3 linked regions of the Oryzias latipes genome follow. The protein of the gene in region 1 interacts with the protein of each later gene in a pairwise test. Links are inferred from orthologs where the notes say so. Each region holds a gene or a part of one and is shown on either strand. Other genes may lie near its edges.

The links.
Region 2: the proteins of endophilin-B1 (region 1) and ric8a interact in binary tests that used the Homo sapiens proteins (3 or more experiments, as listed by UniProt). The link is inferred for Oryzias latipes from reciprocal best matches to the Homo sapiens genes SH3GLB1 and RIC8A.
Region 3: the proteins of endophilin-B1 (region 1) and htatip2 interact in binary tests that used the Homo sapiens proteins (3 or more experiments, as listed by UniProt). The link is inferred for Oryzias latipes from reciprocal best matches to the Homo sapiens genes SH3GLB1 and HTATIP2.

What each region holds. Positions count from the first base shown.
Region 1 is NC_019878.2:11,769,620-11,780,296, reverse strand, and holds the start of endophilin-B1, read right to left. Parts: upstream 6,049-10,677; 5' UTR 5,787-6,048; coding exon 5,724-5,786; intron 5,372-5,723; coding exon 5,230-5,371; intron 4,098-5,229; coding exon 3,969-4,097; intron 3,215-3,968; coding exon 3,081-3,214; intron 1,814-3,080; coding exon 1,721-1,813; intron 1-1,720. UniProt on the Homo sapiens protein: May be required for normal outer mitochondrial membrane dynamics. Required for coatomer-mediated retrograde transport in certain cells. May recruit other proteins to membranes with high curvature. May promote membrane fusion.
Region 2 is NC_019864.2:5,136,234-5,146,810, forward strand, and holds part of ric8a (synembryn-A), read left to right. Parts: intron 1-885; coding exon 886-1,093; intron 1,094-3,285; coding exon 3,286-3,440; intron 3,441-3,528; coding exon 3,529-3,609; intron 3,610-4,790; coding exon 4,791-4,890; intron 4,891-5,999; coding exon 6,000-6,187; intron 6,188-7,754; coding exon 7,755-7,849; intron 7,850-7,923; coding exon 7,924-8,074; intron 8,075-10,552; coding exon 10,553-10,577.
Region 3 is NC_019861.2:6,471,382-6,482,058, forward strand, and holds the start of htatip2 (oxidoreductase HTATIP2), read left to right. Parts: upstream 1-5,052; 5' UTR 5,053-5,269; coding exon 5,270-5,391; intron 5,392-6,066; coding exon 6,067-6,256; intron 6,257-6,332; coding exon 6,333-6,440; intron 6,441-10,040; coding exon 10,041-10,178; intron 10,179-10,293; coding exon 10,294-10,355; intron 10,356-10,677. UniProt on the Homo sapiens protein: Represses translation by preventing reactivation of elongation factor eEF1A. May also inhibit nuclear import by competing with nuclear import substrates for binding to a subset of nuclear transport receptors.

The sequences.
Region 1 (10,677 bases):
ATACATACTCAGAAATGCAATCGGAAGAATAATTGATTTGGTTTCTGTCCTCCTTCAAGTTGAAAACACCATTTTCCGTGTAGTGGATCTTTGAACAAATCTGATTTGATCCGATCTGAAGCGGTAGGTTTTTGCAGGGTTTGGCTCATGTCCATGTAGGATGAGGGTCATGGAGGGACAGGCGCCACCTGCTGGCTTTACCAAACATTGCTCCAACATTCCACTCACCTCTTGTTTCCTCCGCTCACATCTGCAGCTTTAAGTTTTCAAAACAAAAAACAAACAAAAAAACAACAGTGACACATGAGTTAGAGCTGCAGCTGCTGCACGGCCAACACGCCACGCCGCCGCCGTCTTTGGGAGAATGTGAAACGGCGACACACAAGCTGACGGGACGGAGCGTTCTTTAGCAAATGTGCAGCTTGTGTTACTCGCTGCACAGAAACCAACAACAAATGTTTCACAATCACTTTCTTTAAACCCGTTTATTCTGTCAAAATTCAAGAAAGCTTTCTGGGAAATGTAGGCATCGAGGCACAGAGGTGCAGCTCCACTGCAGAAATGCTTCAGGAGGAACTGCAGCTCTGAAACGCACTGAAAACGCAGACGAAACGAAAAACACATTTAGAACTACGAATAGTTATCTTAGGTCGGAAATGCTGGTTTAACTGAAGCTGCTCTGACAAAACCCGTCCAAAGAATCTCCAAAGATTCCAACACTAGAAGGAAGATGAAGATGGAAAAGACGCTGAAGAAGAACAGACTTCAGTTTAAATCAGTCGGACTCCTAAAACTGAGAACATAGTGAGAGCAAAAAGGGAACTCCTCGCTTCCTGTAGCTCCTCATGTGACTTCATGAGTCACATGAGGTGAAACCTGTGTAACTGTGTGGGTGTGTGTGTGTGTGTGTGTGTGACCATCAGAACTTGTGTGGATGCAGAGAGAGACTAAGAAAGACACGCCCACATCTTTAAGGCAGATCAACTGACACCAATTAGGAATCTTTTGGTGCGTTTTTTGTGTGTTAGTGTGTGCGTCTGTGTGTGTGTCTGTGTGTGCGTCTGTGTGTGACCATCAGAACTTCTGTGGATGCAGAGAGAGACTAAGAAAGACACGTCAACATCTTTAAGGCAGATCAACTGACACCAATTAGGAATCTTTTGGTGCGTTTTTTGGTGGGTGTTGTGCACCTCTGTGTGCATGTTATCTGTGTGTTTCTGTGCTTATTGTGTGTATGCATGCCGTGTGTGTGTGTTTGCATATGCATCTGTGTGTGTGTGTGTTTGGGTCTGTCTGTGTTTTTGGGTGTGTGTGTGTGTGTGTATGTCTGTGCATCCTTGTAAATGTGTGTGGGGATACTTTGTGTAGGCATGCTGTTTCTGAGTGTGTGTTTTTGAATGTGCATCTTTGTGTGTGTGTTTGTATGTATATCTTTGTGCGTGTAGGTCTGTGTGTGTTTTTGTGTTTGTGAATTCACACATGCATCACTGTATACGTGAGTGTGCATATCGTGTGTATGCATGCTGTTTGTGTATGTGTGTCTGTATGTGCATCTATGTGTATGTGTTTGTTTGTTTGTGCATCTGCATCTGTTTCTTGTGTGCATCTTTGTGTGTGTGTTTGTATGTGTGTGTGTGTTTGTATGTGAATATGAATGTGAATGTGTGTATGTGTGTGTGTGTGTTGGTGTGTGTGTGCGTGTGTGTGCGTGTGTCCTCACAGCAGCTCTGGCGTCGCTCATCCTGGCTTTCTTTAGTCGGGTTTTTGCTGCATCCAGGTCCAGACGTTTCACCTGCAGCAGCTTCCGCTCTTTCTAAGGGAAATATAGAAGACAAATGTTTCATAAGAACATTTTTGAAAAACACAAGTTTAAAAAACACAATAAGTAGGATTGTGTAATACAAATGTTGTACATGGCAAAGTTAATTTCAACAATTCAAAGTGTTTGACATAAAAGACGCAGTTAAAGGAGCGATCATTAAAAATAAAAATGTAAAGAAAGTTCTCTTCATCTTAAAGGAACAGAACAGATGTTAACGTGTGAATCCAAACTGATCACATGCAGCTGAGAACAGGCCAGTCTTTCACCTGGATTTAAATCAACAGCTTCAGCTGATCTAAGGCTGGCTCCAGATCTGTGGAGCATAGAAGCTGAATGCAGCTTCTCCATGATTGGTTTATGACAAAAAAGCAGATCCAGACGAGCAGAGAGGTCTGGCTGCTGCGTCAGGAGGTCAATCATGTCTTTTGGTGCGAAACAATTCAAACGTTCTAAAGTCTAAAGACCTCAGAGCTGGACTGATGGGGTTCTACTTTGTTTTAGTCCTTGGGAGAACCCCATCAGCAGAGTTCTGAATAAGATGCGGTTCCCTGATTGTTTTTTTTGGTAGTAAGAACACCGTTCCAGTCAGCAAGTCGCCTAAAGATGAAAGCATGAAGAATCTCAGATCTTTAATCCGTGAATTCATTTTCAGAAGACAGTCAGCTGATTTTGCGACTGCTTTCACGTGTTTATCAAAACTCAGGTCTGTGTCCATGACTGCAGCCAGGTTTCTGGCCTGGTTGGTGGTTTTCAGAGGACTAGAGTGAAGCTCTGTGGCGACCTTTAGCCCCAAAGACAGGGCCGTCGCTTTTACTTTTGTTTGTTTGTTTGAAGTAAGTTGAGACAAATCCAGCCATTAATGTCCTCAATGACATGACGTCTGTTTTCATGGATTCGAGTCTCTGGTTCGATTTGCAGCTTTTCAGACTTTCATTGTTGACTGAAGAGGAAACCTGTGATTTAAAAGAGAGCCCGTGTTGTCAAAACATGAAGGGGGAATCTCTAAATGACATGTCAGTGTCTAGCAGCTCATGCTAGTGTGTTGTTGATCCTCCGAACCAAGGCTGTCCAAATCCGGCCTTGAAGGCCGGTGTCCACCATGTTTTCCAACAAACAAGCTCCTTATTGGCTAAACAGGCCTGATCCAGGTAATCAGCAGCAGATAAGGCAGGATTTCTGGAAAACCAGGAGGAGGCCTCCAGGCCTGGATTTGGGCCCCCCTGAGCTAAACAATGACTGAGTCAGTCGTCAAACTCACCAGGATGGTTTTAAAATCCCCTTCCAGAAAATTTCGAAAAGGTGTGAGGAAGTTGATGGCGGCACTCTGGATGAACTCGCGCTCGGCCCCGCCAATCTGCTTCTGCGTCTCGCCGCATTTTATCAGGGCGTTTCCTGTCACGGTCAGCACAGGGGAAGCAACACACTTTACACAGAGCAGGAACTGACCCACAATGCAGCAGGAAATAGATTCTAGAGCACACAATCACAGCCAAATGACATATCTAAAGCTGTCAGCAGATAAGAATATTGGAGCTCATATCTCATTATAAAAACATAAACCAATTTGACTAAAGAAGGAAAAAAAACAAACCAGCTGGAAAAAACTGAATTTTCAGCGGAATTTAACAAAAGAAGACATAATAAGTAAAGTACAGTTCAACTTTTTCTTTTGTTGACACCAAGCTAGACACAAAAGTGTTTAAATTCTCACTACATGTTAAAAAAACGACAACTTTCACACTTTTTTGTTGTATTTGTTACCATACAATTGATGCTTTCTCAAACTAAAACACCTCAAAACAAACCAGTTCCGTGTCGTTAACGATTTCTATTCAAATAAAGTTATAGTTTGAAAGTCCGGCGGAACAAAACGGCCTTAAGAAACAAAGACGTTACTGATGCAAAAACAACAAAAAAAACACAATCACTGCATTGTTGTTGGTTATAATATGCATTTTTCTCTAAGTTTTTGATTCCATTCTTTGGATGATCCCATCTACGCCAACATTTCTTTACAGACTTACTAGTAAAAATGGGGTTTTATCCCCCCTCAGATTTCTACTCTGCACCAAAAGAATCTGCTTAATCACAGACAACGTTCGTGACAGACAGCAGGTGTCATCAGAGCGTCACGGACGCCACTCACCGTACGCCGTTCCAGGGCCGAATTCACTTCCTGACTCGATCATGGACTGTCCCAGCAACTCGTGGTTGTTCATTCGCGTGGGGGCTTTTTTCTCCAGCTTCTCGTACACAAACTCCTCCAGCCGGACATCTGCAGATGACAGCGTCCAAACTCAATCATGGAGTCACAAGACTTGTGTGGGGAAAAACCAGCAGCCGCTTTCATCAAGAAACTTTTTTTTTCTTTTCCAAGAATCTATTCATGTGCATGCGGTGGGTTTGAAGACAAATGCATTAGACCTGGAACCACCAGACGTTCTGTTTGTTTGGCTTCTGATGGGGTTCGGACCGCAGTGAGACGGCATCACAGTGCGAGGCCAACAGCTGAGGCCACACAGACCCCCCCACCTCCACCAATACTCTCACTGCAGAGCTTTTTAGACCAGATCCTATTCTGATAGTAAAAAAAAACACGTTTAAAATGTCTACATTTAAATTGATAAGGACCCTCGAGGTTATTTAATTACTTAAAAAAATATTTAGAATACAAATTATAAATGCTTGTATCCAGTTACAATAAAAAAAGTAACTAGTATAGAATTTTATTGTTATTTTTAAGTATTTTTGTTGTTTAGAGTGGGCTTTTAGACATTAAAAAAGGGCATTATCTTTAAAAAAAAATCAACACCCAGGTGAGGGGGGAGCCTATTTTACCACTAAAAATTCCAAGATGGACAATTTTTTAAGGAATAACGACCCCCCCCCCCCCCCCCTAAATGATCATATAATAGATTTTAGACACAGTAACTTTTAAAAAATACACTAAATGAGACTTTGAGACACTTAGTTTTAATGAAAACATTTCAAAGTAATAGAATGACATTAAAATAAATGATTTAAAATCTAAAAAAGATAAGGTTGATGGCCTAAGAACAATGTAAAAGTTAATATTTAAACATTTTATGCAGCCAGATGAATAATTTTGGAATTGTCTTTTCTTTTTTTTATGTACATAGTTTTAATTTAATAAGATAGTACATCAAGCCCTTAAAGTAGAAGACCTAGCTTGAACATTGCTTTAAAAAATCACTATAACGACCAATCAGAATGTGGATTCTGTATTTATTAATAGTTAATAATTCATTAATTTATAAATAATCCAGCAAACACTGGACATTCCCCCCACTCAAAAGAGATGAAAACAAACATGTCTGCCACCAAAATAAAAGCTCCAGTTTGTTGATGTATCAGGTCCGATGAATGCATTAGTGTGGTCTTCTTACTTGGGTTGGGCTGGAGGAGGACTTCTGTCTGCTTCATGATCTTTTCTGTCCACTGCTTGGTGTTCTCAGCTCTGACCAGCAGGTTCTCCAGGTGAGCGTCCAGCTCAGTCTTCTCAGCCTGGCCGAGCTTCTCCTCTGTAAACTGGACAATGTGGGTTGAGTTGAGGAGCTGACTGTGACTGTGTCACGGTTAGCATGAAGGGAAGCTAATGGAAATAGAAGTTCCCCCAATCTGATTAGCATACGGTTTTCTGTGGCTTTTATTCGCAGTTTGATTACAACTTGTGGTTTTGTCCAACTAACTAAAACACTCTGACAAATAAAAATTTAATTCACGGCGTGTAAGAATAGTTTTAGCAATAAATGTGCTAATTAGCTCTACAAAATTCGCGGCGCTAATGTTAGCATCTTAGCAAGGGAGCTAACGCCTTCTATACTGATAAGGCTAACGGCTAAAGTTAGCCACAACTTCCCCCGTCAGTGCATAAACTTACTTGTACCGCACGGCTCAGAAAAGTACCGGCGTCTGCGGCGAACCGCTTTACATTGAAATCCATGGCACAGCTGTGAAGATAAAACCCTGCTACTAAATCAGGTTGGTCTCACACTCCAACTGCCATCACTAAGGAAAATGTCATTGAAGCAAAATTTCGTCGCTGGTCCACCCAGCTGTTTAGCTAGACAAAGATAGTATACTCCGAGATGGATCCCGTTACCACCCTAACATTTTGACAGCACTGACGGGTTGTACGCATGCGCTTAATGAATACCGGAATCCCCAGAAAACGACATTTAAATGACAAGTTAACAACTAAAGAAAAAAAAGAGGGAAAAAAATAAAAATAAAACATTTTTTTCTGATTTATATTTTTAAAATACAATTATAATAATAGTCCAACGCTGGCATGACCGAAAAACTTCAAACATACATTTTTAGTTGGCAAAACCTTAAAACGAACATAGTCGAAGGTGGAAGGTTTCCATCTTTCTTTGCATGACTTCTTGGGCATTAAAATCCATTTGCTGCATACATATTACGCGGAAATGTCGTAGTTTCGTGTCGCAGTTTCATTGTGTACAGTTTATTATCATATTGAGATAAGATAAACTAGGGAGTGACAAGAAGCGAGATAAAGTGTCTTTTGAATAGCTGTGTGCAAGGTGTGTAATAAGACATGTATACAAGTGTTTGTAATAACTTTATTAACACTGAAATTTTTCATAATGTACACACATCATTTAAAGACCCACTACAATGAAAATCATCATTAAAAACCCATTGGGAAACCTTTTAAAATAGATCAAAAGATGATTGGAGTGGGATTTTAAAACACACACTGAATGCACCACACAAGCAGAACACAATAGTGACTTTATTTTGCCTCTTTAAAAAATACAAATAAAGAAAATAAATGATAAACGAGGGGAAAAAGTAACTTTCTTAAATTTCAAATTCATATTTCAAGTTCTATTTAATATTTTTAAACTATGTTGCGTTGGTAATGTCAAAGGGTACTGTGTCCGTTTTTTTTAAAGATGTTTAATTTTGTAAAGAGTTACCCTTATACTTTATAAATAAAGTTTGATTGGATTGGATTTGATTTGATTAACTGCAGCACAAATCATGGAACAGACGCTTTTCACGTGGCGTCACATGATCGGCATTTTTGTTACGTTACCATTGAAAAGGGCATTTTTTAAACTAGAAAATTACTTTAATTGTTTAAAAATTGACTTTTTTTACCTACTTCTTAATGAGTTGTTTTGGAGAATGACATCAATATGCAATGTTTGGATTAAGTTTCTTCTCGTTTCTGGTGGAGAACCTAAGCAAAGTTTTCATGTTTGGAACATCAGTCAGCCAAGGCAGAGAAATTAAAAACTACTACATTTTTATGGCTTTTTGCACAAAACGTATAGAGATTAAATAAATATGGTGCTTTTTTTTTTCTTTTTTTTTTTTTACAAACCTTTTGTAAGAAAGGCATCTTTGGAGGGAAGTCAGGCCAATTTTTTAGAAAAACACAACCCATCATCAGATCTGGTTGCGATTATGCCAGAGTGGGGCTGCTACCTGCTGTGTGGGAGGAAGTCAAGCAGAGGCAGACTTCCCCTCTGCAGGCTTCCAACACACCGTCAGCTGCCATCTCTGCCTCCGTACTGCATTCAATAAAACTTTTGCTCACCAGAAATTAAAGCTTTACCACTGCAACTGTTGGTTTAAAACATTTCCTTATGGTTAAGGTAACAAGAGAGGCATAAATACTGAAAACCAAACAGTTTTTCACTGTCTGTCAAGCTGCGTTTTTAAGTTAAGATGAGGACAAATCCAACTTTCATACATGTCGGGGTGGAGGCGTTGAACACATCAGCACTTGTAGAAAGACTGCAGAGCAGAGCGGGGCCCTCTGAGGAAGGTGGAGGTTGTTCCAGCAGTAAATCCGCCCGTCGCTGCTCTTTCACTTCACGATAACAGAGAGCACTCCGAGGAATAAGACCAGAGAGCCCTGCTCTGAGCTGACAAAAAAGGATTTTCCGATCAGCCCCTGATACAGACAACAGAACAGAAGCGCGATGGGAGCAGAGACGTCCAAAAACCAGAAGCCTGCACAAACTATCACTTGGTTACATGATGGAGCTTCTGACAGAGCAAAAGGATTCAAGTTTCATTCAGCACATGGCTTTAGAATGAAGCTGTCATTAGCTGCAGCTGCCAAAGAAAAACCCATCTGTAGCGGGAAAGTCTGCGAGGATCATGTCCCTGTAAGCGAACGCAACATGGCCTGTTGTGTTTGTGGCACAGCGGGAGCTGAACTACACGCTTCGACTCTTGTTGACCACACTTTTGGCCAGCTCCAACAGGAGAGGGAATCTGAGCGTCCTCTTCCTCCACGACTCCGGAACTCCCTGAAGACCGCTCTGAAAAAGACATGAGGCAAAAAAAAAACAAAAAATGCTGAGTCTTTAGCGCAAATGAACTGGAACACTTTCCAAATACTAAAAATGAAAAAGCAAAAATCTACAGGAAAGACAGCTTCCATCCTGCATAATTCTTCCACAGTGGATAGGTTTGTATTCAGAGGGATGGTCTTTAATTATGATTAGGCCGTTTTTAGGCAAAAAATTGTGCCATTTTCTAGGACATTGTTTCTGCAGAGCGGCAGGAGTTCATTAGAAATTTGCCACTGTAAGCTAGCAAGAGAGGTGTCCAAATCCAGGCCTCGAAGGCCGGTGTCCAACATGTTTTCCAACAAACAAGCTCCTTATTGGCCAAATACACCTGATCCAGGTAATCAGCAGCAGACCAGGCAGGCTTTCTGGAAAACCAGAAGGAGGGTGGACCTCCAGGGCTGGATTTGGGTTAGGAGCTCCAGTAATGATGAGGGAAAAGGGGGCAGGACTGCTCTGGTCCCCACCACAATTCAGAAAACGACACAGGTTTTTTGGATTTTGCCTAAAAATGGCATAATCCTAATTCTAAGACCACTGGGAACGCTTCTACAATAAAACAAAAGTAAGGCTGGACCACTGACCACTACACCACCAGCCCATTTCTGAGGATTTAGGCCATCAAAGCCAACCAGCATTAACTGACCTGTGCTCCCAAACAAGCTCCTATAAAGGAGGCTCGGCTGGCGGTGCATCCTCCACGCCGCATCGTGTCTCTGACGGCTTCATCCAGTCGGCTCAGCGTCAGGACTCCATGGAGCGCCGCCTGGAAGGCACCGGGCAGAGCTGGACACACATTCAGACCATTAATGACAAATGGGATCCGGTTTGTTGCTTCATTTAACCAGGCTTCCATTTCTCCATAAATGCTCCACATTTCATATGAAATCAGGATATTCTTGAGGTGAACAAAAAAACCAGATTGTAAAACTGAAAAACAAAAAAACAGGAAAGGAAAAACGTTTTCAACTTCAATGGTAAACTTAAAAGAAATGTAGACATTTTATTGTAAATTTGAAATAAATTCATTTTAAACTAGAAGGAAATCATGAAACTTTTAAAGAAGAAAAAAGTTAACCTAAAAATGTTACCAAATGTGAATTAAAATATATTTATTTTCTAACTTTCTTCATTTGCAAATTTTCAATATTTCTTTCAGGTTTTAAATAAAACAATAAATGTTTAAACAAATATACATATTTTTATTTAAAATTTTATTTTTCAAATATTTAAACTTATATTTTTAACATTTCTATCAAATTTACAATATAATGTTTTTTAATTTACAAATTAATTTAGCAAATTTTAATGTTAATTTGTTTTTCAAATTTACATTTTTATTTTTTAGATTTCCAATACTTTCCTCAAGTTTTCAAAATCCATTTTTGAGTTTTAAAATTGTCAACCATTTCTTGGGAATTTAAAATCCAGTCTATCCTTCACTTTGAGCTGAACCTGATTTAACTCCCTCATTTTGCCTTCTTTTTTTTTCTTTTTTTCTTTCACAGCCATCATCAGGGACCTGGAGACAGAAACGTGCTCGCTTTCGTTTCAAACCGGAGACGTTGACTCAGCAGGACGAGCGAAACGGGGAGGAAGGAGGAGGAAGACCATTAGAGATCAAAGACCAGCGGATCTGCTGGCAGGAAGAGCGTGCAGCCAGGCAGTGCCAAGTCAACAGACTGGAGCCCTGCTGCTGTCTGCTTGCTTACCTCATGTGTTAGTGAACACAGCAGGTATGAGCTGATGGGATTGCTGGGCTAGGCTGTCCTTCACCTGGTGGACATGCGCTTCCATGGAGACACGTTGGGAAAGAGAGGAAACATTTACTTTGCTGCAGTGACACCGTTTTCCATGTTTTTGTTGATTAAAAGGGAAAGACTGTGCATTTTAATGTATTTTCTGTAATTATTGTCATGTTTCTGACCTTCACTGCATATCAGTGAAGGGATTTTCCTACATAAAAATCCACCATGGTTTAAAGAAATTCATATAGATCTCTAAAAATGAACCACCCTGATGAAGTCATGGCTCATTTCAGATAAAAACTGTGAAGAAAAAATTGAAGGAATTCAGGGTAAAGCTATTTTTAAATGTTCTCATATCAAAAGCAAAACAGTTTGGAAAATAAGGGTATAGTCCGGACGCTTTTAATTTGAAAGCGGATCCCTTTTCTTCATTGATTTCACAGTCTAATTGTGTGAAAGTTGATCTTGAAGTGACCTTTTCTTGGATTTTTCCACCAACCAGTTTTTTGCATCAGTTTTTCTTTGCATCAGTTTTCTGACATCACAGCAGGAGAAACCATCCAAATAAAAGACGAACGGGGGCCAAAATCTCTTCTGAGGCTCAATCAATGGGTCAAAATCCACCAAGGAAATCAAACACACGTGTCGGGGATGTCTAAAAGAGGTTTTTAACTTATTATTGGATGAGTCTACGGCTTGGCGGCCATTTGATGTGAAATTTGGCAATTTTCCAACGATGTGGGAAATGAAG
Region 2 (10,577 bases), on another chromosome or scaffold:
CAGTTAAGCGCAACCAATACAGACCATCACACTACCACTGCCATGTCCAACTCTTGCTTTGATGTTCTCCTCGTTTGATCTCTCCCCCCGGGGGGGGGGGGGGGGGGGGGGGTTGGAGACACAGCAGCATAGGGACCATTTGGTTGGTGGCTTAACCCCTCCAATCCAACCCCTTAATTTCCATGGTTTTGAACTCACAACCCTCCACTCTCGGACCAGACACTTGAGCACAAGGCCACTGAGCTGGTAAATGATGTTTGTTTTGATGATTGCAACCCTTAAAGTGCGACAAACATGCAATAAGGGAAGAGACAGTCCTGTGCACACTTTGATGGTTGGACTAAAGCTCACTCCGAAAAAGCAACTTTGAATTTCTAAATGAAGACATTTAAAAAGTAACATGAAGCAATTGCCTTATATACAGGACTGAAAACTCATCCATCCACCCATCCATCCATCCATCCCCCCTCCATCCCTCCATCCACCCATCCCTCCCTCCCTCCCTCCGTCCATCCATCCATCTTTTCCACCATTCAACCATCCAAATCTGTCAATCTTTTAGTCAGTTTCTCTTTTTTTCTTCTTTCATCCATCCAAACATTCATCTTTTCATCCATTCTGACCTAACTGACCCTAGTGTAGCTTTGGCCTTTGTTCTGTCATTGAAAGACTCTTTAAGTTGCACACTAAGTCAGAATGGATCACACAGAATCTTCTAGATATCTAAGGACGAGGATCACCTTAGTTTAGTAGATCTTTTTTTTAACTTAAAATATTTTCTGTGAATGTATCTGCCTAAATCTAAGATTTAATGGGTTCAATTAGTAACTTAAACTGATCTCTGTATGAAAACGTGCTTACGTATTTTTGTTTCTTTCTGCACAGCATCTGGGCGAGCTGCTGGTTGGTTTTCTTAACAGGGATCTGCAGCCTTCCTGTCTGCTGGCCTGTTTAGAAACAGTTCGCATTTTGTCCAGAGACAAACGTTGTGTGGATCCTTTCATCAGCCGCTCAGCCATGTCCACTCTAGCCAGGTATGCTGGCATAGCCACGGCTCAGACTGCTGCCGACAGCCAGCCAGGAGAGGGCAAACGTAAGTGTCTGTGTTCACTGGTTGGTTGTGTCTGAGTCAAAACCATGGTGCTTCTGCTTGATACGTTTTCCACTACTACTAGCCTGTTCTGTTCCGATGGAAGGTGATGGGTCTCTGGAGACCTCTCTTGATTGCTTAAATAACTTTTAATTTGAAGGGCAGTGATGTTTGTGATCATGTCAATGAAGGAACACTAAGAACCATAAAGGCTTGAGTCCACAACACTTAATGTCTCGTTATCAGAATCTAAAAAAACACAGATGTCGACGCTGTTGTAGGAAAATGCACCACTGATGCATCAATGACATCATAACCATTCCAGGGTTATTCCAAATCCCATTTTTTTGGCGGGGGAAGTTAAGGAAGAATGAAGACCGACCCATAAATTGATGCAATATTTAAAACAGCCACTGTGTTTGTGTACATGCCAGCTTCAGTCCAAGAACCCCCCCCACACTGGGGAAGTCATTGTCTCGCCACGAGGAGCTGACACCAAACACCACATTAATGCAGGCTTAGACAGTGTTCAACCCTTCTTGAGAAGATTGGTTCCAGAGCAGTTCCAGCATTTTCCCAGCCAGTGACGTGACATTTCGTGTTTCATTTGCCATTCATGGTAACCAACTTTTCACCACGGCATGATGCTTATTGCACCCCAATTCCAAGGCCCCTCTTGTAGGACGTGACCGGCTGAGATGGGGGCTCACGAGTAAGCCCACACCAACCCCCCGCCTCTCACCTTGAGCAACTCCAGAGTGGTAGAGAGTCCAACCCCTCTCTAAGGACTGAGTTTCAGAGCCCAGGCTATGTGTGAAGGCGAGCCCGACTATATCTACACAGTATCTCCGAACCTCTCACACCAGCTCAGGCTCCTTCCCTCCCAGAGAGAGGACGTTCCATGTCCCAAAAGCCAAGTTCCATGACCGGGGTTTGGGTCACCGAGACACCTGCCCTCGACTGCCACATTGCACCGGCCCCTTTTGAGGTCTCCAACGGGTGGTGGGCCCATGGGAGAGTGGTCCCACGTCGCTACTTCGGCTGAGTCCGGTCACTAGGCGCTCGCCTGCGAGCCCCAGGCCTAGCCCCAGAGTGGGCCAATCCGGGCGACGTAATCGGGTTCTTGGTCTTTCTTTTCATCAGAGGCTTCTGGACCGCTCTTTGTCTGGCTCGTCACCCAGGACCTGTCTGCCATGAGAGACCCTACCAGGGGTTCAAGCCCCAGACAGCTTAGCTCCTAGGATCACTCGAGCTCTCAAACTCCCCCAATATGTTAAGGTGGCAGTTCACGGGGGAGAAAAACTAGCTTTTCAAAATTTTTACTTAAAAAAATCATGTGTAATACTTTTGTTTCTTTTTTTTTACCAGTGATTGTTCCCCCAGAAACATAACTTATGGAACCATCGCAGTGACAGTTGTACACCAATTTAGAGCTCTGGACATTTTTAGAGCTGAACCCCTGCATCATTTTTAGCAATAAGTTCATTTCTTGGTGTGTGACGTCCTGTGTGTGTCTTTGTGAAACGGATCAGAGAAAACGTGTTATTGTGAAAATCAGAAAACATTAAAAACTAAATCATAGAACTCATCACTGGAATTTTCCTAATTTTGTGTAGCACCAACAGTAGAAATCCTTGAAAAACCTCAATACTTTCATAAACAAATGATCCATAGTTCATTCATGATCTCATAAAGTGCAGCTGTTTTCCTGCATTACCTGTGTCTTTATGTCGAATACTGACACAAACTAAACCACAGGCAGATGTAGAAAATACATTTATATAGAAAATAAAGACGACTCATCAAAATGTCTGCAATAGTTCATAAAGAATGACATCATTAGCATAAGCTGAGTCATCTAAAGGCACCGATGATCCAGGTGTTGAGCAATCCAGGCTGCGCTCTGTGCGCCCTCCACCCCTCCACACATTTGCGGCGCCTTCTTAAAGACAGAAGCGCGTGCAGCTGCAGGGGCGCCAATACACAGGTTCCAGGCTGCTTTTTCTTTTCTTACTAGCACTGAGCTGCCGCTCCCCCTTAAATTTGCCCGTATGGCCCGTGCCTGAAGCCGCCACTAAACCCTCTGACTCCCTTGCATGCCAGGGAGGGTGATCGTATATTCCTCTGCATGAATGTTTCTGGCTGTTTCACAACTATTTAGATTTGGAGTCATTTTTCATCTGTTTTCTTTCTAGTAGAGGATAAAGGGGGAGATGAGGAAGGGGAAGCAGATACGCTCAGAGCTGCAGAGAAGGAAGCCTCTCCTCCTGCAGAGAACCCTGATCTGGAGGTGATTGTCGAGGCTCTCAAGTCCATCTGTAACATCCTGCTTCACAACGAGACTGGACAGGTGAGCCTGTCGTCAGCTCTGCAGCTCACAGCCAGCGTTTGGTTAGAGCTGAAGTGTTGATCTGATGACTGTCTGCTGTTGATGACAGGCGGTGGCGGCAGAACTGCAGCTCATGAAAGGTGTGGCAGAGAGACTGAAACACTGTCGTGATCCCACGTGGAGCTTTGAGGTATGAACCTCCTTCACACTTATTTTAATGTTAAAGTCAAACACTTTTACCAAACCATCTAAACATGAAAAGAGCATACAAATGTAGCTTCAGTGATTGTCTGTCTTGACTTCTTCTCTGAAAGCCTCCAAACAAATCCGTTCCATTTTAACAGAACACTTTCATGAGATAAAAAAAAACAAATCAGTTGATTATATTTGCTCTTTTTTCTCCCTTTAGAAACTGTCTTTGAGCAAAAACACTAAACATCGTATTTGTCTGTGCAAGGACACTTTCAGTTTAAGAAAATCCTAAAACTCTGGTAAGATTTTGTCTTTACTACAGACTGCTGTCTGGTAAGATGTACTGGCTAGAAGCAATGTGTTTGTCTTTTTGTGTTACACAAAATGTGAGTCATTTACTTCTGAATGACTCGTGGATTGATGCAAAGAGAAACAGACCTCTCCTGAAAAAAGCAGCAGAACTACAATGGATGAAGAAAACATCAGTGAAACTTTGAAAGTTCTTTGGAGAGCGGTCTCTCAGCCCAGAAACCGAGTGACGTTCAAACGTTTTGCACCGAGGGCCAGATTTGGTGAGGTGAAAATGAGTGATGGTCAACCTTTTGGCCTAACATTCTTCGAACTATTTTAATAGCATTAAATGCAAATGAACTACTTAATGAACATATGTTCATAATTCACATACAATACAAATATATCTAAATCCATTTTTACATTCCTTATTTGTCACACCATTCGTTTCCAGTTAGCTTGTCGCTGATGGCATCTCAGGTAGCTCTTCTTGATATTGAAAACAGCCATAGTCTCTTGGCATATTTGACAGACGCAGTTGTTTCATATTTCACTAAAAAAAAAAGCCCATGTCTTGGACTTATCCTGGTGGCGGTGGTTCTCACTGTCAACTTTTCCTTTCATTTAAAGTTGACATTTTAGAGGTGAGCTTGAAAGAGTCACAGAAGGACAGTGTTGCCATGGTTTTACATGTAGTTAGGCCAATCACAATCAGGAAATCCCCCACAGTTTGTAGAAAATGATGGGGGCTGCATATTACTGTTTTGATGACAGGAGCCATCCGGCCGGTGGAAATTTGAACGCTGATGCATTTGGTCCATATGTTGCAGGCTAAAATAGTTCTGGTCATGTTTTGTCCTCAGACTTGCTGTTGTGCTTGTTTTCCAGGTGCGTTTCTTTGACTTGCGCCTTTGCTTCCTGCTGACCGCGCTCAGGGTGGACGTGAGGGCACAGCTGGCTCAGGAGCTTCACGGCATCAGTCTTTTGGGTAACGTGTGAAGTGTTTACTCTGCTGAGTTCTGAGCCTGTCTCTCAACATCGTCCTGCAGCTTCTGGAAATGTTACAGAGTGACAGAACTTACAGAGTCAAAGCACAGAAGAAGAGGAGGAGGAATGGATGTGATGTCAGAAAGCACCGCAGATGCTTGAGGAGCTGCAGACAACTCAGAGAGGGGGGGGGGTTACAACTCTTCACAATAGTCAGAAAAACTGCCTGTATAAATGCATTCAAGCAAAAAGCTGCTATACATTATCAAACTTGGCAGAAATGGGGGCGTAGCCTCTGACTGACAGGTGATTGTGCAGATGTCTGCTCAAGAAACATATGATTGGGCTTGTTCCCACAGCCAACAATCCAGCAACTCCTGCATGGCAGCTTATGTTGCTGTTTCAGCAGTTTGGTGCAGTTAGAGGGAACTGTTTTTGGAGTTGACTTTGGCCGGTGTGGGGTCTGTGGCTCCTCAGAGAGAGAGCAGCTGAACGTCTAATGACATCTTACTTAGTTCATTCATTTTCCATTCCCTTTTGGGGTCACAGGGCTGCTGGAGCCTATCCCGCCCACTTGTAGGCGAAGGCAGGGGATGCCCTGGACAGGTCGCCAGTCTGTCGCAGGGTGGAATGGCCACACTCACACTCACGGGGAGAACATGTCCCCCAGCTGGGACTTAAGGCAGGGCCCTTCTTGCTGTGAGGCAAGATTTTCAAATCAAAGCTAAAAACTCATCTTTTCCAAATGGCCTATTAACTTTAACATTAACCTTTTCATGTTTTTATATATTTTTTATTTAATTTTGTATTTATTTAAATTGTTGTTGTTGTTTTAAGTGTTTATTGTATTTTATACTGTATACATGCTGTGCGGCGACCTTGAGTGCCCAGAAAGGCGCCTTATAAATAAAATGTATTATTATTATTATTATTATTATTAAGAGCACTAACCACTGCACCACTGCGCCACCATGCAGTCTATCTTACTCAGTGAGATGGATTTTATCTACGCTGGAACTGGACTTCTACTGCCGATGAGGATAAATAGAGAAGCTTTTAATAGAAGATGGAAATGTGCTGAGAAAAAGATGCCTTGTTTTTTTTTACCAGGTAACCAGCTGGATGCTGCACTGGGTCTATGTTGGCCTGATCCTCTGGAGACAGCCAGGGTGGGGCTGGTAGGGGTCCCTCTCGAGGAGATGCCTCCTCTGAGCAGACAGCAGACAGAGCTAGCCATGGAGATACTGAAAATCCTCTTCAACGTCACATTTGACACAAACAGACGCAAAGTGGATGAGGTAACCACAGTAATGCCACATCAAGGCCAGTTTATCTTCTCAACATCTGAAAACCACAGCTGCAGCTTGACTATAGGTCAGCATTTCTACCTGACAAGCTTCTTCTTCTGCACGGCTGCACACAGTGCAACAGGCTGAAGATGAACCTCTGATCGGAAGATTGATATGTTGAAGTGTCCTTGGGCAAGGGACACCACCTTGCCTTTGGTGGTTGGCGCCAGTGTTTGGCAGGAGAGCCACCATCAGTGTGAATGTGACTGTAAAGTGCATTGGACCTTCAAAGAAGGTAGAAAAGCGCTATATAAGTATAGTAGGGGGGTGTATTGGCAAGAGTCTGGTGATACGATACCGATCCCAATATTGTACCGGAACACGTTTTTCTCTTTTTTTGTAAGAATTTTAATACGTCTTCTACTGTAATAAAATGGTCAAACTTAATGTATTTAATGATCACAATGTTAAGCACTGCAACTTTATCTCATACGTTGCTTTTACCCAAATTCATAGTGCTTTTATTTTGGTAACTTAAAATATAGAAAGGAAACAGTCAACATTGTCTGATTTCCACAACAAAATATATTTCAGTATAAGAAAAAAAATGGAATGAATGTGCCTTAACCAATAATGTTGGAAAAGTATGATTGAGGAAATAAAGCGCTTTTTATTTCCAATACAATATTGTTTAATGTAGCTTCTCCAGTACTTAAAGGGTTCAGGATCTGAATGGTGCTTCAAAAATAAAGGGGGGCACTAATTATTTCACGGATTAATAAAGTGTGATGATGAGGCAGCGTGACAGAATGAAGTAAAGCTGCTTTAATGTGGCTAAGATGCTTTGTTTACATGACTCTCTGCTCTGCAGCTGCAGCTCCGTTTTCTCACACGCGGTAGTAAACTAGTAACAGTCGTCACCACCATGTCGTCCTTTTTTCAGAGCGTTGGACACATCATTGTGATCCATCAGGTCTCTGAACTAGAATCTATTGCTGTGAGGTTCTGCAGAACTTTGGCCCGCTTTGCCGACAGCCTTTTGGCTGATGCTCAGTGCATTAGCTGCTGTGCAGCTGCAGTGCTTCACTCGTTCTTATCTGAGCCGCTACAAAGCACCGCAATCTGCGTTTTTATATGTTACTGGCAGCAACACGGCACATTTTTGGTTCAGTACCCATCCCAAGTAAAAACTAAGTAGTTCATGTCTCATAACAACAAGCAAGCTGCCTCTAGCTAAGGTCTTCCTGTTGTTTTGTGCGTGTAGAGCTGCTGGTGTGCTTTGCTGCCAACTAGTGGTCGGAGGGTGAAGTGGAAAACAAGAGTCAGACAATGAAGGACACTCAGAAATAAATAAATAAATATCGTCCTGACAGCATTTTGAATCAATGCTAGTATCTCCAAATGAACTATCGCGACATATTGCCGAATCTATTTTTTCTAACACCCCTAAAGTATACACCATTGACCTTTTTTATCGCTGTTATGAGCTGTTGTACAAACCCCACCTGGTTTGTCTTGAAGGACATGTTTGTCCAGTGAAAGCGGTGGTTCTATGACAGCGTTGTTGTGTGTGAAGGAAGAAGCAGCGGAATACAGACACTTGGGGGCCATACTGAGACACTGTTTGATGAGTCAAGCAGATGGAGAGGAGCGCACCGAGGAGTTTCACAGGTAATGCTCCTCCTTCCTCCTTCATTCATACAGTCACTGCTTCCTGCCTGTGATATTCCTCTCCTTCTTTTCAGTCACACAGTCAACTTGCTCGGTAATCTCCCCCTGCCTTGTCTGGATGTACTGTTGATGCCAAAGGTGCAGCAGGGCTCCATTGAGTACATGGGGGTCAACATGGATGCTGTAAAAGTGCTTCTAGACTTCATGGAGAAAAGACTTGACCGGGTAAGATGGCAACTCATGCAAAACAACCAGGAGCAATGATGGTAAGAAACAACCCCACGAGTCCAAGTTAACACTACAGGTAGTCAATGTTTGACTCTATGACCCATGCAGACCATGACAAGACTTTCTTTTTTGGATGTAGCCATCTTGATGTTGAAAATAAGCATTCTTATTTTTAGTGAAGAAGCCAAACACTGTTGAGTGAGTCCATCCATTCAATTCAATTCAATTCAATTCAATTCAATTCAATTCAATTCAATTTTATTTGTATAGCCCAAAATCACAACAGCAGTCGTCTCGATGGACTTCGAAGTGAGACATGAACTCAAAAGGATCATGAATATAGGAAAATACTAAATGAACTAACAAACTGACTAAGCTATACTGGCATCCCTGCCCTTAGACCCCCCTTCGCGCCAGGTGTAGGAGCAGGAGCACAGACGAGGTACACGGTCAGGAACAGGAGCACGGATGAGCCAACTGGAGTCTGGAAGGACTCCCACTCCCCAGTGGGAGAGGGAAAGAGGGACAATACATGAATCGCACTGCACCAAACAGAGGGAACTAAATGATGAAAAATGATCAAAAATAGAGAAGAGAGGAAGGGTAGAAGTAGATGAGAAAAGAGGACAGAACCCCAGTGCACCATAGTTACCCCAGCTTCAACTTCTAGCAGCCTTTAAAAATAAACTGTTATTGTTATTAAGTTTAATTTAAACACATTAAAATTAAGTTAAATAATCTCTGAATACTAACTAGTCTGATAAGAAGCCTGTGCAAAGTTTAGTCTTTATTTGTTCATCCATCCATCCATCCACAGATCTGCATGTCCATCCATCTTCCAGCCATCCATCCCTCTCTTTCATCCATCCATCCATCCCTCTGACGGTAGAAATGCTGCCTGTAGTCAAACATCCGTATGTCTGTCCATAGATCCATCCGTCCATTTGTCTATCCACTCCTCCACCCACCTTTTTACTTACCTATCTTCTGTAGTATAAAATGCCTGGTGATGGGTGCTTGTGTAGCTCAGGGACTTTCTTGTGGCTGACATGAATCCAGGTGGTGCCCTCAGCCATTTCGAATGTGGTTTGGATGGCTGGAAGCACCTAGACTGGACCATGTCACAGATGAGCCATCTTGTCTTCCTTACAACACTGTAATGCAGCATCGTCACAGAAGGGAGGGGAGCAGTCAGCTGATGGCCCCGTGCTCAGAGTGGGAACTCTGCCCAACAGGACTGGACTGTTTTCTCAGCATCATTTCACTTTCAAGCTTTCATTTTCTCCTCCCACTGCACTCCCACATGGGGGAGGAATTGCACCGTGCCTGTTGGTGACTATTTCCAGAAATGCCCCCACCTGCTCCAGTGCTGTGTTGGCAAAGTGGGAGTTATTGTACGGCTGATTTTGTTGGGAATTCTCCATCTGGGATTTATGTCTGCTGGCAGAGGCTTCAGTATTCCAGTGTGCAGCCAGAGCTCCAATAGTGCTTTGATTCTCTGGTCTTTGCCTGCTGTCTCCACTCCTCATCAGCTTGTTTGCTCTGGCCTGGTCTGCTGACATTTCTCTGCTCCCCCTGCTTCTCCACCAGGCTCTTGTTGCTCGCCTTTCTCCTTCCAGAGGTTTTACTTCTGGCACATTTTCATGACATGGAGAACTGTTTGAGCACTGACTTATAAAACTTTGTCCACAACTGTGGAAGCAGAGCCTGGCAGTTCTAGAGTCACTGGTTCAATTCCCATAGTTGGGTTTTCTGGGTTGGATTAATCTGCAAAGCAACTTGTGTTAAAAATGTTTCTATAGACTTTACTGCAGTTTGTAGGTATTATATTTGTGCTATGAAGATAAATATCAGTGAAGAAACTGTGAGTGTATGGAGCAGAAAAGTACAACGTTCCCTCAGTGCAGCATCACAATCCAACAAGAGTGAAGAGTGAGGCGACCGGCCCACCTTGAGTAAGGTGGTCGTTCTGCCGTGATGAGCAAGAGGATCTTGGATTGGTTCTCATGTGGTGTAGAGTTTATTAATACTTCCCAACATGCTGCAGCAGAATTCTGTCATGGGCCTTTAAATGTTTCATGCCAGAGTCCGCAGCTCTGTGAATCCACCAAAGCAGGGCTGGCGAGCCCCTCAGCAGATCTGCCACACGAGGAGGACGAGGAGGAAAAATGCTTTTTCACTTTGAGGATCACCATTTGTGCATGACCTTAAACTGAAGGAACTGGAGTCCAGCATTAGCAGAACTCAAGCAAATGCTGCTGAAATGTTTTCCCAAACAGCAGCTAATGTCGTATTTGAAAATTAATCAGAGATTTAATTGACAAGAAATGTCTAGTAGGACTAGAAGTGACAGAGAGAGCCATCAAATGCTATGTTAGTGTTGTAAACCGTCTTCGTGTGCCTTTTAAAGCCCGATCCAAATAATATTTATTATTATTATTAGTGTTGTTTTGCGTCTCATGCTGGTCCTTTCAGGGCCACAAGCTGAAGGAGACTCTCC
Region 3 (10,677 bases), on another chromosome or scaffold:
AGGAAATTGACCCACGTTTCTACCACGCACCCACAGAGGCATAAACCCTCTTAATCCAACTTCCTGTCTGATCAATGTCAGAAACAATAGCTCAACAGGTGTGACAGACAGGAGCCCAGCAGCAGCTTTCTTCCCTGCCGCTGGGTCCAATTAGCACCCGCGGCTAAGGAACAAAGAAGCGACATTTCATTTCAGAAGTGTGCCAGTTAAAGGCCTCTTCCATCAACCTCAGCCTCTTTTCTTCCTGTCTTTTGCTGCTGACATCTTTAAAGGATCATCCCTGGCTGCATCATTTTCTATTAGATTGGGTCGATGCCTAGTGCTCAAAATGGCAGGGGTGTTAAAAACATGGGGTGTTGATGAATTCATTGCATGTGACTGGACTTGCTTTCTTTGTGGCGAGGGTTTCGTAAATAACACTCTTGCGAAGGCCTGATAAAAGGCAACAGTATCTTCAGGGTTTAGCTCTTCAATCATTGTCCTGACTGGATTTGCTACCTAAATTACTGTGGCAATGACATATCCCTTAACTTTTTTATTTATTTTGCACATGTGACATCTAAGGGAGCACTTTGTTTTGAAAGCCTTTCAAACTTTTTATTTATTGAAAGGATTTTCCTTATATCCAACAATAAAACTTTGATTTTTAAAGAGAGAACTTTGTTACAAAATCTAGATCCTACAAAATATGTACAGGTCTAAAGCTAGTTATAATCAAACTGAGAATATACTGATGTCTTAAAAATAATTTAGTATGAAATTATATCAAACAAGCAACCTATTACAGTTTTTCTCCATTGGTTTGGCTCATTTCTTGAAACAGAAATTACATTCTCAAAACAACATGGACAAACCTCCAAACCACTTGGCAATTGTTCACAACAGAATGGAATTTCTCATTGATTTCATCAAATTGCAAATGTCTCAGTACATCTTTGCAATTTATGAAGTACATGTAGCGTACATTAAGCACAATTTCCAAGTGAATAGATCTTGTTGATCTAAACTGATAGTTGATTTTCAGTCTAATGGTTGTTCGATCCAAAATGAGTCAGGATCATTTCATTGTGTAAGTCATCACATGCAAAATAGTCAGTTCAACTATCAAAATTAGTCAAGAACATAATACCATGAATAGGATATATGAATCCTTTGGAACATTTGATAAATTTATAAGAGCAATTGACAGGTGAAACTAGAACTTGACTAACAAAGCAGGAGTTTCACACATCTCAGATGACCAATCAAACAGTGTGTTTAGTCACCTGACAAGTGCTGTCCATGACTGTGAATGCTGCCAAAAATGTATGTAAAGAGCTTGACCATGCAGGACCAGTAAAATGTCTAAACATGGAGACACCTGGCCAGGTAAATGAACATGGGCAACTGCCTGCTCGAGGAGGAGGAGGAGGAAGAGGAGGAGGAGAAGGAGAAGGAAGAAGAGGAGGAGGATGAGGAAGAAGAGGAGGAGGAGGAGGAAGAAGAAAAGGAGGAGGAGGAAGAAGAAGAGGAGGAGGAAGAAGAGGAGGAGGAGGAGGAAGAAGAAGAGGAGGAGGAGTAGAAGGAGGAGGAGGAGGAGTAAGGGTGCGTGGTGGTGGAATAGGAGGAAGAGGAGAAGGAGAAGGAGTAAGGGTGGTGAAATAGAGGGAAGAAGCCGAGTAGGACGAAGACATCATCCCGCCCAGATGAAATTTGGGCCACAATTATAGACCATGTCATCAACCATGGCCTCACAATGGCGGAAGCAGGTCGCCGAGTGCATCTTAATGTGCCTCGCTCTACAGTCTCCTCCATCATCCAAACCTTTTGTAGAGAAAACAGATATTTAGTCAGTCAGTGATGGAATTATATGTTGTATAGGATAGGACACTGTGCATAAAGCAAGAAATATATTTGTTTACACATTTACCTATTCATTTGGTGCGAGTGTGATAGGCCTGGGATGTTATGATACTAAAATTGATAAGAAAAACATTGGAGAAAATAAACTATGGAACTATTCCATAAACTATGGAATTTGTATCATCATCATTGATGATGATACAGTTTACAGTAGTATTCCAGTCACTGTGCATTGATGCATTAGAATTGTGGTAAAGTTACTGTAAGTAAAACAACAATACAATTACATATGTAACTCATTCTGTAAGGAATACATAAGGTATACATTAAAGTTTTTCTCCATTGGTTTGGCTCATTTCTTGAAAAAGAAATTACATTCAGAAGTTTGATCCCTGAAAATGAGAAAAGTCTAGTAGGGCCTCACCTACCACTATATGTTATTGTATGGGACAATGTTAATTTCCACCGTGGCCCGCTCATCAGGGCCTCATCCAAGGATGGTCATAGTGTTCCTACCACCTTACTCTCCTTTCCTCAATCCTATCGAAGAGTTTAGCTCTGCTTGGAGGTGGGGAGTGTAGAAGCATCAGGTTTAAGATCAGAGGTCCCTGCTCCATGCACTGGATGCTGCTACAGCAGCTGTTCACAGGGCTGACAACTGCAACTCATTCCCCGTTCGACCTCAGCTCTCCTACTATCCCCCTCCCTCCTCCGTGCACTGTCTGGAAGAATGTGCCTGGCTCACGGAGCTTCACCTGAAGGACAGATTCATGGGGGCCCCTCCTCCCTCCATCTTCCCCACCCTCCTGAGCCTTGTGCATTGTGTTTTGTCTGCATATGTGCTATTTGTGTTGAACCGTGTAGTTTTTTTCTTGTACCTAAACATTGTACGCAGTGTAGAGATACGACTTTTTTTTGTCACCAATGCCCCACCCCCCCCATTGTAGACCATCTACATGCTGAACAAGGTTGCGCTGGGTTCGGGCATCACGGCCTGGGTCACAGCAGCATGACCTCAGTCAACTTCTCAAAATGTATGTGTATTTTTTGTTTGTCTGATCTTGTTCGAGATGTACTGGAACTAAATTTCCTTGTGAGGGATTAATAAAGTACGTTTGAATTTGAATTTGAAAGTACACAGTTAATGTATGTGTCAGAGGTCAGAGCTCCTCCCCCCACCCCCCTGGTCACGGGCGGTAGCTGTCTCCGGAGTTCTACACGCACTACATCTCCCAGCAACCCCAGCGTGCAGTTTCTGGATGCTGCACACCTGAATCTGAATTGCACAGAGCCTCGCTAAGTGTTCATGCCGCTCTGCCTGCATTCCTGGCGGTTCTTCTAAATCGAAGATCCTTATTCCCTGACCCTGTTTTGTCTCTGACTCCGTTTGCCTGCTCTGAGTCTCGCCTGGATCCTGACTACTCCAGTTTCTTCTCTGATGCTTCCATGCTCATTGTTGACCCCTGCATGCCTAACCCTGATATAGATTTGTGAACTTTCAGCTGTGCTTAGAAAACCTGCTGCAATTTAAATCAGACGTCTGCCGGTTTTGTGACAGAATGACTACATTTATTTACAGACTTGACCTGAGCTCTCTCTTTCTTATTTCATATTGTTGCACATAGAAAAAAGGACTTCAAGTTATTCAAGTCATAACCAGATGCCTTAGTAAAAATAGATCATCTGACATCAAGCATTAGAAATGTTCAACAGATTCACCCAAATCCACTTTCAAGCAGTAAGAGTGTGGCCTTTAACAAGCTCACATTTAATTGGCGAGAGTGGTTGCCATAGAATTATTGACTCAGAAAGACTCATACTAAATATTGCTTACTGCCGTTGTCTGGCTCCAATGTGGCAGCGTCCATAATGCAAAGAACATGGCAAATGAATTGACGTCATTTTGCTGTAGCCAGTTATAAACCATTTTCTATAGGTGATATTACACTCACTTGGTCCAGTTCACATACAGTATATACTTTACAGTAAATACTATAGAATAAAATACTATATAGAATAAAAGCCATGCAGCCTCATTATTCCCAGTTCTGGTACCCAGCCCGGATACAGGCCTGTGAAGGGCATCCAGTAACAATTTACTTGTGAAATGTCACATCTTTGTTTTTCCAGCTCTGTTTTTGCAATTGTAGCATGGCAGTGAGACGGCAAGTTGCTCTTTTTTAATATGGTGTCGAACTTTGCATATATAGCTTACCTCGCAGTGCAGCGTCTCTAGCCCATTAACTCCTTGGTTTACTCATTATTAGTCTCACGGTTGTTGTTCTTGTTACAAAACTCAATGAGTCAAATATACAACTTAGTTTTAACTTGGGATGGTACCAAAACTCTGTACCAAGTTGCTATTGGTACCATTTTAAAAACAAAGATTTTGGGAGGCCGGTAAAAGAGGCCATGCAGATGCACAGCACACCTGTGTGGTGATTCAGTCAAAATGCAGAGGGCATAACCAGTGAAAGTTTGGTTGTACTTTACAGCAAAAGATTCTAATTCAGAGTGATGTGTACAATGCTAAGAAAAAAGTGAAATACGTGTTTGCTTCCATGTGTGCGTAAAGGGAGATGCTGCGCTGCAGTGCAGACTGTCACGGAAATAATGCATCTTAGGCACATTTAAATGCTCTCCTTCACCCTGTCACACTGCTTCATCATACTTAAATGTTTATAGGGGAAAAACTAAAAAATGTAATTTTTGTAATTACATTTTTTTATTTTATTTTGCTTATATTGAATATATTTTGTTGTGGAAATCAGACATTGAGTATTGAAAAAATATTTATTACTTTACCAAATTTAATAGCTCCATGAATTTGCTTAAGTTGTATATGAGATACAGTTGCCATGCTTGATGTTCTGATCATTAATTAAAATATATTTCACTATTTTATTTAAGTGAAAGATGAATTTATATTCTGACAAAGTTTTTCTAATTCATACTCTATAAAAAAAAACAGTGAGAATTTGTCTGCCATACCAATACAAACACCCCTGATTACTATTATGCATTTTATATTTTGCTTTGTATTGCTTTTTTCTGTTTATTTCAGGTTCAATGATGGTTAGTGACAAACTGTCAGTAAACCTTAAACTAAAAAGATAACTGACTTAAACTAAAAAATAAGTGAGAATGAGAATCACAGACTGAGCGCGTGGGATGAGTCATGGGTAACCTTAGATCTTTATGTGCGCATGCGTAGTGTGGAGAATTTCATCGATAACAGATGACAGTTAACGTTTGATACCAAGCTGGAGTCTCTTAATTCATGTTTTTATTCATTTACAAACAGCGGACAAAGCTAATACTAGAACCCCGACATGATAGTCAGATTTTGACGGAGACAGGAAGATGTTTATGTAGAAACCAAGTAACCAGGAAGTGCTAAGGAAACGCTGTCGCCGCCTCGCTGATTATGAGATTGTTGTGTTGTTCTTCACTGGGGAAAGCTACCGGGATTTCAGCCCTTTTCATCGTAGGGTTTGCCCTCATTTTGAAGTATTTTGACGACGACACCGTTCCGGTAAAATATTTAAGGTAAATGACGTCCGTGGGTTCACGTTTACTCCACACCTGGACGCTGACTGATTACAGCTGTGAAACCCTACAGATTATTGGGATTTAACTAAACCTACTGATGAATAATAGAGCAATAAGTGATTTGTATTCATACATATAGTTGTAAAGTATATTGTTTAGGATTTCTCTTCTGTTCACTCTTATTTTTTCAGCAGCGTGTCTAGAAATTGTTTTAACCCTTGTGCTGTCTTAGATGACCCCACCCTTACGTTGACGTGTTCTACCTACCATGACAAAGGTGGATAAAGGTGAAAAGATTTCATGTAATCCATGGACACCAGTGAGGTTCACAAATCATTGAAGAAAAAAGGTTCAGCGCACTGTCTAGTGGGTCTAGATGACCCAACTCCCAATGTTAAAGTGCCTATGATAGCACAAGGGTTAACGGGAGCAAATATGGGCACAGATTTGGGAAAGGGGGGCTTCTGCAGCATGCGTTCATTTCTGTTATGGTCAGGGTAAATACTCGATTCTGATTGGCTGCTGGGTGTACATTATAAGACGGACGTCGTTTAACACATAATGCCAAGTTGCAGTGGCTGGACACACCCCTACTTATTTTGACACAATCCTGGTAGAACTTTCTGTGAACGCATGAAGGATTGGATCCGTTTTTTCTTCTTTGGTCCACAGTATGTCTGAAGACATCGAAGCCCAGGAGGAACATTTCAGGCGTCAGAACCAAAGCTGCTTCATCCTCGGTGCTTCTGGGGAAACAGGGAAGGTGTTGCTGGAAGAACTTCTCCAGCGCAACATCTACTCCAGGATAACACTGATCGGGCGGAGAAAGCTGACCTTTGAGGGCGAAGCCTATAAGAACCTGGTTGGTGGTTAGTGAACCTGGTTGCACAGAATCCAGGGTGTTCTCTTCAACAGGTCATCATTTTGAATCCTCACAGGTACAGGAAGTGGTTGACTTTGAGAAGCTGGACGAATATGCTGCTGCCTTCCAGGGCCACCATGTGGGCTACTGTTGTCTGGGAACAACCAGAGCCAAAGCAGGAGCGGTGAGTTCATGCCGCCGCCATCAGCCCTGCCTGCTGGGAGTGTCTTTAGTGATTAGGAATGACTCAGCGATTTTTATCTGCACACTTCATCAGGGAGCGGGGAACATGAATACATCCAGTTTGTTTAGGTCATTAACAGAGCTTGCAGGCTGACAAACATTACTAAGAAAACGACAATGACTGGTTACAGACATGACAAAGTTGTGGTTATATCATGTGGGACATGTTAGTTTTTTTTTTTTGCTATGTTGAAGGATGTTATTTCTTATTGCACACAGAAAGAAAAAGCTTTCATATTTTGAGGCTTTCTGTGATTTCTTTTTTTTGACTGCTCCTCCTTAAAGTCCCTCTCTGATCATCTTTTGTCTATTTTAAAGGGCTTATATGCTTTTCTTAAGCATTTCAGAGTAAACTATATCTATATACACAATAATAGATTACCTTTGGCACACTAAAGAAATGTTTTTAATGATATCTGAGTTATTTTGGCAGTTCATTTCCCTACCCGTAAGTAAGATGACTCGATCTCTGAGGCTCCGCCTTTCGCTCCTTGAGGGTACCACCCATTTCATGACGTCATCCTAGAGTCTGTTGTAGAGTCTGTGTTTCACACATAAAAACAAACAACATCTGATCTTTTGCAAAGATGCATGTGCATATTGTGCATATAAAAGGAAAGCGTTTTTGCCGATGAGCACTAGCTTCACGAAGAAAGTGTGTGGGTGTGTGTGTGTGTGTGTGTGTGTGTTAGCGTTAGCCTGGGGCCAGTGCTGGCATTGCAGACTCTTCCTGGAAGGGGCTGTTCCTCACTTTGTGACTTCACAATGTGAGGACCCACTCGATACATAAAGTTTAGCCAAAATTGCAAAATGGGTTTATACAAAAATGCACCTTGTTTCAGAAGATCCATTAAAAAAAAGGAGTCAACCTTTTAATACAACGAAAAGCTCGTTTGTAAAAAGTTGGTTTTGCATGGGCCCTTTAAAAGCGTTCTCTGTGGTCTTTTAATTATGATCTGGCAGTTATTTGCCAAAATAAATAAAAAAGCCTGTCATTATTTAGAACATAGTTTCTGCAGAGCGGCACGGTGGAGCAGTGGTTAGCGCCACCCCATCAACCTTTCCGTTCTCCCCCGTGCATGCGTGGGTTTTCTGTGGGGACTCCGGCTTCCTCCCACTGTCGAAAAACATGCTTTATAGGTGAATTGGTTAATCTAAATTATCCCTAGGTGTGAATGTGGGAGTGCGTGGGTGTGTGATTGTGGACACTCTACCCTGCGACAGACTGGCGACTTGTCCAGGGACCTTCTAACAGCCCCGTCACCCCAAAAGGGGATAAACGAAGATGAATGAATAGTTTCTGCAGAGTGGTTCATTAGAAAGTCACCTATGAGTTGGGGGTGGGAGTGTTGGCGGGGCGTAAACCTACCCCCTTCCCATAATTCATCTGTTTTCATTCGTTAGCTTACAAGCTCTCACAACCAGTGTAACAAAAATAGGGAGCGATATTGGTGGTAATCTTGGACAGATTGGAAATGGAAATGGATGTATCAAGTTTCACTGCTCCCATTTGTTGAACCTTTTTGCCAAAAAACATCAGACATTGGTTATTTTCCTGTCTGTAACGTCAGCTGGAGTTGAAAAAGAAGGCAGTGCACAGCATTGTAATCTGAATCTTTGCTTTTACTATGGACTAAAGGCCAACTAAACAGACTGAAAAGTGAGGTCTTTTTTTAAATGAATCTAACAGTTCAGTTATTGATTGTCATCCTTGTCTAATTTATCAAGCCCCTGTCATGTGAGCATTAACAGTGCAGCATTCAAGAAACCCATCAAGAAGAGTGACTTATTTAGTTTTCTCAAATGATCTTTGTTAAATTTGAACATTTATGTATTTCCTCCTTTTTATTAGGAGGTCAGACCCAGTAGGCAGAGCTGAAATCTCCTGTTAGTTTGTGCGATTAGTTTCACACTTGAGTGTGGGGATCGTCTGCTTTCACTGATGGTGGGCTCTTTCAGAGGCAGAAACCTCATTTCTTCTCCACTGTCTAGTTTCTTTATTTGTTCATGCTCTAACGAACTGTGAAGCCATGTTCACACCTCCCTCGGCAAAGCACGTTGAAGCGACCACTTTCAACGAAGAGTCCACGTTTAACCAGTGTAAATGGGTGTCCTGGGCTTCTGCGTTCTAAACCTTGGCATGAATGTGTAGCTACACACATTTCAAATGCCATTTTTGTGCTCTACGCACAAAACGCGCAGCCATTGAATGTGCATTGAAAGTTAAACCAGCTCAAACTTTGACCAGTCGGGGACTCTAATTTTCTAATGATGTGTGGATGAATCACAGAATTGTCAACAGTTTGAAAGTTCATCATTGAGGAGAAATTAGTATGTGCGCTCTATGCCCGGCTGGAATTATATTACACCAAGTCTTTCATGTATCAGAGTAGAGCTATGAAAGAAAAAGCCTAGAGCAACATTCATCAGATTTCCACCGCTTTGACATTTCACACCAAGACTCTACCAACTGTAGGTGGAGGACATGCACTAGTAAACAGTAGAAAGAAGAAGAGGCCCCTCCCTGACAGAGGCTGCACAACCAGAACACTATAGGCTAAATGCGCGTCACATCCCTGGTGTGAACATTGCTTCAGACACAATAGCAGTTATTAAAAAAAAAAAAAGGATGATAAACATAAACAAGTTGTCTTGGCAAAAACAATAAGATATTGATCAATAATGAGATACAGTCAGGACCATAAATATTTGGAAAGAGACACATTTTTTCTAATTGTGTTTCTGTACATTACCACAGGGAATTTTAAATAAAACAACTCAGATGCCATTGAAGTGCATTTGAGATGCTACAAAACCCAGCATCTGGTGATGTCCATGAGTTCTAGACTCTGGAACTCTCTACCTCCGGACCTCAGAAACATCGGGTCTCTCTCACAATTCGCCAAAAAACTGAAAACTCATCTTTTCCAACTCGCCTATTCCCTCCGATAATTTCCTATTTCTGGCCTATTTATATGTATATTTTATTGTGCATTCGATTGCTTTTATTTTATTTTTATTTTCACTTTTATGTACGGCGACCTTGGGTTCCTTGAAAGGCGCCTAACAAATAAAATTTATTATTATTATTATTATTATTAGACTTCAGGCTGTCATTGCCAACAAAGGGATTTCTACCAAATATTAGTAATGAGCATTTTGTTTTCAGTTATTTCATCTGTCCAATTACTTACGAGCCCATGAAATGAAGGGATTGTGTTTAAATGTTTACATGCTTAAATTTTTCCCATTTTTGTGCAATCTTTTTGTTCAACCCATGGAAGCTGAAAGTCTGCACTTCAATGGCATCTGAGTTGTTTTATTTAAAATTCACTGTGGTAATGTACAGAAACTGAATTAGAAAGAATGTGTCTCTGTCCAAATATGTATAGTCCTGACTGTATTTACTCCCCTTCTGTCTTTAGGTTGGTAAGTGCCTCTTTGATGCTCTTTTACTTGAACTGGGTTAAATCAGGGAGTTCTTTATGTCTGATCTTGCTTGTAAATTGTAATATTTGAATATCATTCCTTTTGTCTTCAGGATGGATTTGTGCGAGTCGATCATGACTATGTCCTGAAATCAGCAGAGCTCGCCAAGGTGGGAGGCTGCAAACAGTTTCACTTGGAGTCCTCCAGAGGAGCCAACAAAGACAGCAGTTTCCTTTACCTCAAAGTCAAGGTCTTCTGTTTGTAGTCTTCATGTTGATTTCCAGCCAAACATGTTTTTGCGAAAATGTTTTTGCTTTAAATGGTTTGCACTTGAATATCTAAATTCATGTATGCTTTTCTTTAAGGGCCAAGTGGAGGCAGAGATTGAGGCTCTGGATTTTGACAGATTCTCCATTTACAGGCCAGGGTGAGTCATTTCCTATTTTGGATTGAAGCCATCCACTGCATATGAGAATTGGACTAAGTGACCCCTCCCCTTTGGCGTTCCAAACAGGAAGTGCCTGCTTGCTCCAAGATGCCAAAATCCCATAGACTTGTATAGAGTAATAAACAGCTGTTAATAACCATTCTTGATCCAATACCTTTTTTTAACGCTTTAACATGTAATCCTCTATTTTTTCATGATATTTGTCTTTGATCGCAAGTTATTCAAGTTGTAAACTGATCTAGCCCCCACAAAATGTTTGAAAGATTTTGTTTATGCAAAATAGAAAAATTGTGCTGAGAAC